Linked DNA regions of Sus scrofa. The protein of the gene in region 1 interacts with the protein of each later gene in a pairwise test. Links are inferred from orthologs where the notes say so. Each region holds a gene or a part of one and is shown on either strand. Other genes may lie near its edges. The genes, in order: GPN1 and GPN2.

Region 1 (4,598 bases):
TGCCTTTTCTGCAAGCAGCTGCCTAGTATCCCCCATTATAGGTTCTAGCCGGATTTGAGTTTCTTTGATTTGCTTGTCCAGCTTCATCATTTCTACTATTGCCTTTTCTTTAAACCTCTTCTCTCTCTTTGTTAGCTTCTCTGGCTTGAGAAAATTATTTAGGAAGCGAAGATCTGGTTGAAGGGAACTACTGGAGTCCTCAGCCAATCTGAAGGAAGAACAAGCGAGACATTCCCCCATCAGGAAAAGTTAGGAAAGAATCTTAAAAATGCACACCTGTACCTCCACATCCCAAATACTTGGGAGCCCTGGAGTTCCCGTCATGGTTCAGGGGTTAACGAATCCGACTGGGAACCATGAGGTTGTGGGTTCGATTCCTGGTCTTGCTCAGTGGGTTAAGGATCCAGCGTTGCCGTGAGCTGTGTGTGGTGTAGGTCGCCGACGCGGCTCGGATCTGGCATTGCTGTGGCTGTGGCATACGCTGGCAGCTACAGCTCCTATTAGAGCCCTAGCCTGGGAACGTCCATATACCAGGGCTTCGGCCCTAGAAAAGACAAACAACAATAAAAAACAAATATTTGGAAGCACCTATGATGTTCCTCACACAAGGCACCGGCATCGGGAATAGGACTAAGGGTAAAGACGTTGAGAGTGTAGTTTACAACCCACACTACGCCTTCACCGCAACCCTGCGAGGTAGTATCTCAAATGTAAAGAGGAGAGAACAGGTTTAGAGAACTTAAGTGGCCTGGCCACAATATACACCGCCAGCGGGTGGCAGAACCTGGGCTTGAAACCCAGATCTCAAGGCTTAACTGCACACTACAGGCACTCCGAAGGGCCGCAGAAGCCATCTGGCCGGTCGGGAGTTAGGGCATAGGGCTCGGCTCTTCCACCACCTTTCCGGGTGCCCAAGGCGCTTTGAGGGGAGGGATGCGCTCCTTCAGTACCTACTTGACAAACTCGGCAACCAAACGTTCCTCCCCCAAGCCTCGGCGCAGCTCCTTTGGGGAGGCCGTCAGGGAGCCAGCGCTAGAGCCGGGGGCCGGCGACACGCGGACACCGCGTCGCAGTCTAGAGGGTTTTCCCAGTTTCTCCCGACGGGTCTCTGGAGGTCTCGGAGCGGCCCAGCAACTCCGGGGCTCGCATACAGCCCGGGTCCTGGCCTGTCCAGCTCTGAGCCGCTTAACCTCCTCGGCTGCCGGACCAGCCCTAGCGGCTGGTTCTCCCGCGGCTCGGTTTCCTGCTCGCAGCGGGTCGGCAGGAAAACGCCCTCTCTTGACTCTCGTACTGTGTGAGCCCGGGGGTCCCCTGTCCTCCCACCCGCCTGGGGTCCGCAGCTGTGTCCTTAGCAGGCCTCGCCCGACGACGGTGAGCTGCTCTGGGGCTGACCCCTTCCAGTTGTCGTCCCAGTGTCTCCACCTCCCCGTCTCTGTCCCTAGTTGGGCCCCCATCCGGGTCCGGACGGACAGACACTAAGGCGCACGTCTCTCCCCTTGGTCCTGCCCTCCCGGGCCAGTTGGGTTTGGTTCGGTTCGGTTCGGTTTGGTTCTAGTCTCATTCAGCGTCCCGAACCTCGCGGGAGTCTCTCTAGCTACGACCGTCTCTATGGTCGAGTGGGCGGAGCCAGGAGCAAGATGGCTGCGCCCGAAGCTGCCACGGTGCCGCAAGCTTCCGGGGGTCCCCGGGCTCCGGCGTGCCTGTTGGTGCTGGGAATGGCGGGGTCTGGGAAAACCACCTTTGTACAGGTGACCTACACGGCGCGGGCGGAGTAGGGGCGCGGTGGAAGTTGTCTGTGGCGGGCGTAAGGCCAGGGAGAAAGGGAGGGAGATCTCTGGGGAGTTGGAGGGTACCGGCGCCAGGCTTTTAGGGTCTTGCCAGCAACTCCGGTTCCTTCCTCGGTGAACCCTTCTCAGATCCTCACTTGGGTTCATTTAGCCTCTTTCTGAGCCCCCTCAGTGCCTACGAGGTATGACCGTACTTGAAATTGTCTTGTCGGCCAACTCCTCAAAGGTAGAGGCTTACAAGGAATCCTGGCAGGTAATACAGTGCTAGCACACAGGCTTTCGGTGTAGATTCCTAAAGAATTCTATCTGGGGTGCCTCCTGTGTGTCAGGCACTGGGGATACAGCGGAAATGAAGTAACAAGGTTCCCGCTTAGGTGGAATTTAAGTTTTGTGGGAGATATGGAAACCCCGTCGTCCCCCCCGCCCCCCTAGTCAATACTTGATGGAGAGTACGATGTGTGATGAAGAAACGTTGCATTCAACTGAGAGTGATTGTTGGAGGTGGAGATCAGAGGTGGATATTTAAGGTAGAGGGAAATGCAAGTGCAAAATTCCTCTGGTAAGTTGGATAGAGGGGTGGGAGTTCTCTCTTGGTTCTGTATCATGCCTCTTGGTCTCAGTCTATCCCTCTCTCCATATCTCTGCAGAGGCTCACCGGACATCTGCATAGTCAAGGCTCTCCACCTTATGTGATCAACCTGGACCCAGCTGTGCATGAAGTTCCCTTTCCTGCCAATATTGGTGAGTAAACTGTACCAGAACTGGTGTGAAGTTTCTCAGAGAGTGGAAAACTGTCAGCCTATCCATCAGGCTTAAATGCTTTCATTTTTGATGTTGTCTAGCATTTCCCTTGGATTTGCTAGCATCCTTAGGCTTCTTCCCGATGATCATTTTCTCTTTGTTTACTCCTTCCCCCTTTCTAAATTTCTTTCCTTATCACCTACCATTTTCATTACCTCTCTTTGACTTTAGGGTGTGAGACTATGGTATTTGGGAAAATGAAGTGACAGAAAGTCAGTCTTTTGGCTTCTAAGCTGTAAATCCTTCAGCAGGCTCTGATACATAAACCTTGTTTTTATAGTTTCTTCCAGTTTGGATGATTTTTTTTTTTTTTTTTTTTTTTTTTTTTTTTTTTTTTTTTTTTTTTTTTTTTTTTTTTTTTTTTTTTTTTTTTTTTTTTTTTTTTTTTTTTTTTTTTTTTTTTTTTTTTTTTTTTTTTTTTTTTTTTTTTTTTTTTTTTTTTTTTTTTTTTTTTTTTTTTTTTTTTTTTTTTTTTTTTTTTTTTTTTTTTTTTTTTTTTTTTTTTTTTTTTTTTTTTTTTTTGGAGCATGAGTGTCTTGAACAGTAATTTGCTTACTGCAGTAGTTTGCTTTCAAAGTTACATGGAGAAATGTGTGTAAATATGCCTGTATGTGGTTGTGCGAGACGTTCCCTCCCTGTTATCATCAGACTTGACTATAAAAAAGATTAAGAATGGATATGATGCAGAGTCCTGATTCTTGATAGGATCTAGGCATCCTGATCTCCACAGACTATTCCTGGGTATTAGGCTTTTCCCTACTGGTTTCTTTTTAATTCTATTAAGCTTGTACTCCAGTGCTGATAAAGGAAAACTTTGTATTAAGAAGCAGAAATCATTATGGGAAGAGTTTTGGGAAAAAAAGTTCCCATCGTTTCACTTAAAGGATGGAACTCTAATAGTTGATGGAGAAGGTCTGCTGACTGCTAGATAGGTTTGGTTAGATATTACTGGACAGATCAATTTTTAAAATTTTAAATTCCATCCACATAATTTTTTTCTGATTTTATTGAGGTATAATTGATATGCAGCATTGTATATGATGAAGTTGTACAGCATAATGATTTGATTTACATACTCCTGAAGTGGTTACCATAGTTTAGTGAACATTTATCATCTCATATAGATACAAAATTAAAGAATAGAAAAAAAGTTTGTTTTCCTTGTGAATGAGAACTCTTAGCAACTTTCATTTATAGTGTAGAACAGTGCTCATTACATTTATAACGTTGTGTATAAATCCCTAGCATTTATTCATATTAGCACCGGAAGTTAGTACTTTTTTTTTTTTTTTTTTTTTTGGTCTTTTTGCCTTTTCCAGGCTGCTTCCATGGCATATGGAGGTTCCCAGGCTAGGGGTCGAATCAGAACTACAGCTGCCGGCCTAGGCCATAGCCATGGCAATGAGGGATCTGAGCCATGTCTGTGACCTACACCACAGCTCACAGCAACACCAGATCCTTAACCCACTGAGCGAGGCCAGGGATCAAACCCACAACCTCATGGTTCCTAGTCGGATCCGCTTCCACTGTGTCACAATGGGAACTCCAACCTTTATAAAAATATTATCTGTATTACTTTTGTTATCAGTAAACGAAGAGTAAGGAAATAAACCTTTTTTCTTGATTTAGCTCCCCTTTTCTATGAATGTGGTCAGTAGGTATTTAAATTGTATATAACTTTCCTCCTTGTCTCAGACCATCCTTACTGTAGCTTGAGAGAACTCCTAGCCTAACATTTTTATTGGCAGTTACTTAGCAGTTATCCTTGGCTGTAAGGAAGGGAACCAGTGTGAAGCTGGAGAAATTGCTAGAAGACAGTACTGACAACAGAAGCCTCAAAAGCTAGTTTCAGTTTCTTGTTGGGAGGGAAGGTACTTAGAGGATACCTTCTGTCCTCCTAGTCTCCTCCTGATCTTACTTCTTTGATTATCACAATTCTGTGATCTTAGCTTGAAAATTTATTCTATTATTTTTTTTGTCTTTTTGCCTTTTCTAGGGCCGCATCCACGG
Region 2 (4,564 bases), on another chromosome or scaffold:
TGTACCTCAGTCTCCTGTGAAGATGACTGGAAAAGAATCAGAGCTAGAGATGCAGAGGAGCAGCATGGAGCCATCCAGGCTGGAGATGTGAAGGGGAGGGGGGCTTGGGAAGACTGCTAACCTGGGCACAGACAAAATGTGGCTGCTGGGCTTGCTAAGAGAGGCACCAGGACTCTGAGCTGAGGTGGCCCCTCTAAGGTGCTGACATCCCTTCATGTCCTGACTAGCAGCCAGTCACCCTTCCTGAACAAGGCCCTGACACTTCACTGTCCCCACAACCTCCCTTCCTGCTCACTGCTTGTCATTTCAACTGTTCTTCTCTAGGTTACTTTGCGGCTGGAGATGCTATTTAGGGAACTGATGTCCCCAGAGCAGCAGAGCACTAATCGTGCAAGAAAAAAATCCTGGCTGGAGTTCTCGCTGTGGCACAGTGGGTTAAGAATCCAACTGCAGGGAGCTCCCATCGTGGCTCAGTGGTTAACAAATCCGACTAGGTTTTGGGTTCGATCCCTGGCCTTGCTCAGTGGGTCAAGGATCCGGTATTGCCATGAGCTGCAGTGTAGGTTGAAGAAGCGGCTCGGATCCTGAGTTGCTGTGGCTGTGGTGTAGGCCAGAGGCTATAGCTCCAATTAGACCCCTAGCGTGGGAACCTCCATATGCCGCGAGTGCGGCCCTAGAAAAGACAAAAAAAAAAAAAAAAAAAAAAAAAAAAAAGTCCAACTGCAGAGGCTTGAGTTGCTGTGGAGGCATGGGTTTGATCCCTGGCCTAGCTCTGTTGGTTAAGGATCTGGCATTGCTGCAGTTGTGGCGTAGGTCGCATTCAATCCCTAGCCTGGGAACTTCCATATGCTGCTGGTGTAGTCATTTAAAAAAAAAAAAAAAAAAAAAAGCTGGCTATTAGAACCCCTGGGCAATGCCCTTGTCAGCTTGCCTCTCCCCAAGTCTTTCCCATCTTGATAAATGGCACCTTTGTCCACTGGTTCAGTCAGAAACCTGAGAGTCATCCTTAATTCCCCTGCCTCTATGTCTAATCCACCAGCAAATCCTATTTCTGGAGTTAAGTTTTGAATCTATCTACTTCTCTCCATTCCCAAGACCACTGCCTGGGCTGTTGCAAAATCTTACTACAGGATTTATAGGTGCCCCTTTTAATTCACAAAACAGCTGGAAGGACTTTTCCAGTTCATGCTGTTCCCTTGCCTCATATTCATCAATGGCTTTCTTCTCTGTTTTGACAGTACAGGTTCTGGCCCCTACTAACCTCTCTGACCTCATTTCCTACCACCCTTCCCTGAGCCACTATCTCAGCTACCCTGGACTCACCCAACTCCCCACCCCCTTTTCCTAGAACACAAAAAGCTCTTTCCTGAAGGGCCCTTAGTGGTCCTTCTGCCTAGGAACAGTTCTGCCTTGGCAGGCTCCCACTCACTATTCTGATCTCAGTTCAGATGGTACTGTTCACTCTCCTCACTCCCGTTCCATTACTTACTTCTAATTCCTTCAAAATACACATAACCATCTGTAGCCCTCTTGTCCCCCAAAACCCAGAACAATATCTGGCACAGGGTGGCATAAAATAAATGGGCAGGGGTCAGGACCTGCCTGTGGCTACTCCCACCAGGCCATGCATGGTTCCTGGAAGCAGCTACCTTCAGCTGAGATTTCTGCTCCAGTGCAGCCCAGATGCTTCTCTGATTTTTGCCTGCCAGGACAGGAGCTCTTACCCAGCTTCCCATAGTGTTCAATGAGGTCCATCTTGGAGAGGAGGTTGACATGGGGGAGCTCCACATGCAGCATGGTGGCTAGGGAGGTACACAGTACTGAAATGAACTTGGCAGGGTCTGTGCAATAGTGAGAATCCACCAGGTGGACAGCAGTCAGCTGGGAGGGAAGGAAGAGACAGGGTGAGAGTGGCCTGGGGAGGCAAGGAACATTAGGGCCTATGTCTCCCCATCAGACCGGGGACTTCTGAGGACAAAGGGCAAATCTTCCCATTAGTCTCCTCCTGCTTCTGTTCATTCTAATAGAGTCATCTCCTTATCCCAGGAAATATGGGGCATTTCTTTCCTGCAGGCAACTGGTACAATTCCCACTGCATCTGACTCTATTCTTTAACTTTCTTTTGCCCACCAAATCACAACCACCATGCCACTTTCCACATAACCCTTTCCATACTTCCAATAATTCTAAGTTGGGTACTAACACATTCATTATACAGATGAGAAAACTGAGGTTCAGAGAATGAAACTGACTTTCCCAGGACCACACACCGAGTCAGTGGTAGAGCCAGAATTCGAATTCACACTTGTTTTACTTCAGAGCAATTCTACCCCATACTTAGCTATGGGACATGGGGGCGTGGCATCTGTCCTCTCCGTCTCAGTTCCTCCATCCGCAAAATGGGCCAGATCCCAGACGCACCCTGAGGTCCCACTGCGTCATCTGGGAGAAGATGCTGCGCAGGGCTCCGTGGTGCGTGCAGAGCTCCACTTGACCAGGGCAGTCAAAGAGGAAGTAGTGGCCGCGAAGGGGGTCGAGTTTCGCGCGCAGCCAGTCCAGGTTGGCCTCTAGGTACTCCATGCAGTACAGCAGACCGCCGTTGGGCCCCAGCTGCAGCTCGTCCATAACGTCGCTCAGGCCCACCAGCTCGCCCACATCTACGGCGCACTCATATGGCAGCCCCTCGTTGGCCGGGTCCAGGTTCACCACCGCCACGCGCCGGCCCAGCGCTCGCAGAAACTCACTCATGCCCAGGCAGTACGTGGTCTTCCCCGAGCCCGGCGGGCCGATCACCGCTTGCCCAAAGGCCGTGGTCTGAGCGGCCCCTGCCATGGGCGGCACACGGCTCAGACAAGTGAGAGGAAGTGCGTAGCAGACAAGTTCAGAGAGGAAGCAAGGGGGGAGCCGCACCGCAGACAAGAGCCGAGGGCAATGGGTTCCCCTAACTGCACTTGGCTGGGGACTGGCAGCGATACCCGGAAGCCGCCTAAGGAGAGAGAGCTGGAAAAGGCGCGCTGTAAGGGGACCAAATGGCCAGGCACTGACCAGACCAGCACCCGACTTCCGTACAACGCCGGAAACAGCGAGGGCCGGAGAGGAAGTCCCGCCTTTACAGTGACGACATAGCTTGGCGCCGAGGGGCGTGGCGGCGCCGAAGCATGAGGCGTAAGCAGGTCCAGGAAGAACTTTTCAGGGTTTTCCCCCACCTTCCGCCAAGCCCAAGTTAGAAGAGGAGAAATTCGGTAATACACTCCTTTATTCTCCCATTAGGTCTCAGACTCGGGATAACTGCCTTAGACTCTCCGCTGCCCGGTCCCAGCCAGTTAAGGGGAGAGGCGAAGGAGGGCCGGCCCCCAAACCGTCTCTTCAGAGCGCAAATCTTCTCCTCTTCCATGTCCCTTTTCCCCTCCTTCTGGGCTTCGTGGCGACCTCCCTACCCCTCCCCACGGGAAGTTGTGCTGGTAATCTCAGGCAGTTTGGCTTTTCATCGTACTGGGGGAAGCAACAGGAGCAAGCCCAAACAGACCAGGGTTAGGCGGCCACCAGGGAGAGGTCATTAAGCCGTTTCATCAAAAGGGAGGATTGGGGACTTTTTGTCAAAATGCCCCTGAGGTAGACAGCCAGGAGGCAAGTTCTAAAAAAGCATCCTGAACAGGCTAGGGCAGATTGCTGCTCCCAGAGTTCTTTTTGCTTTGGCATTAGATAAGACCGTATAGAGGGCTGCCACTGTGCAATTATGAGTGATCCTGATTAAGGAAGCCCCTGGACCTGTCACTCAGGCTCTGAAGGGCTGTCCAAGGCACAGCTGGAACCTCTCACAAAAGCCATGTCTGTACGAAACTTCATACTGGTGGGTGGCTGGCGGCGGAGCAGCGACTCCCCCTGGTCCTGGGGCAGGGGCTCATCATAGATGGTGGAGATCAGCCCCAAGCCAGTTCCACGGGGTCTCTTCAGTTGCCCAAATGGCTGCAGCTTCTCTCCATGGTACCTGGATTAAAAAGGGCTCTCAGTGAGAGGGCAGCTCTCTTACCTCAGTAAAGGGGTTGGAAAGGACAGGAAATAGCTACGCGTATATAGTCTGTCCCAAAGACAAAGCATTTAAATCTAAATCTTTGCTCTCCAGCCCCCTTATCCATCTATAGATAGCACCAAAAACTAGCGGCCTCACCGCTTTCATTTTAAACAGTAGACAAAATTGAGAACAACTGTCACCACTCTGCATCCCTAACAGCAATCATCCAGGCTACACTGCTCAGACTTGGGGGAATGACTCCTGCAGGAAGTTAATGATCCTATCAAGCCTGAGATCTTGGTCTTGAAAAAAACAGTGCCAGTCCTACTTTTTTTCTTTCTAATTCTGCTTTGAAAGTCATTCCCTAGGGAGTCTCTAGCACCTAAGCCAAAACCAGAGGGCAGGGGGAACCAGGGTAGAGTTGAAAGGCTCCCTTGGGCTCCCTGGGAAGTCCCTCAGCCATACTCACCCCAATCCACGCTTGCATCTGGGGTGCTGGCCATCACTATCCAGGGCCTCAGGCACCCCTGAGCACTGGCTGCCCAGGCCCTG

Evidence for each region.
Region 2: the proteins of GPN1 (region 1) and GPN2 interact in binary tests that used the Homo sapiens proteins (3 or more experiments, as listed by UniProt). The link is inferred for Sus scrofa from reciprocal best matches to the Homo sapiens genes GPN1 and GPN2.

Annotation. Positions count from the first base shown.
Region 1 is NC_010445.4:111,562,065-111,566,662, reverse strand, and holds the start of GPN1 (GPN-loop GTPase 1), read left to right. Parts: upstream 1-1,597; 5' UTR 1,598-1,637; coding exon 1,638-1,748; intron 1,749-2,434; coding exon 2,435-2,528; intron 2,529-4,598. Other genes in the region: CCDC121 (coiled-coil domain-containing protein 121), read right to left, coding at 1-208, 955-1,454. UniProt on the Homo sapiens protein: Small GTPase required for proper nuclear import of RNA polymerase II (RNAPII). May act at an RNAP assembly step prior to nuclear import.
Region 2 is NC_010448.4:84,206,638-84,211,201, forward strand, and holds the start of GPN2 (GPN-loop GTPase 2), read right to left. Parts: upstream 3,093-4,564; 5' UTR 2,833-3,092; coding exon 2,422-2,832; exon of another isoform or gene 2,271-2,421; intron 1,882-2,270; coding exon 1,725-1,881; intron 1-1,724. Other genes in the region: GPATCH3 (GPN-loop GTPase 2), read right to left, coding at 3,772-3,988, 4,482-4,564. UniProt on the Homo sapiens protein: Small GTPase required for proper localization of RNA polymerase II and III (RNAPII and RNAPIII). May act at an RNAP assembly step prior to nuclear import.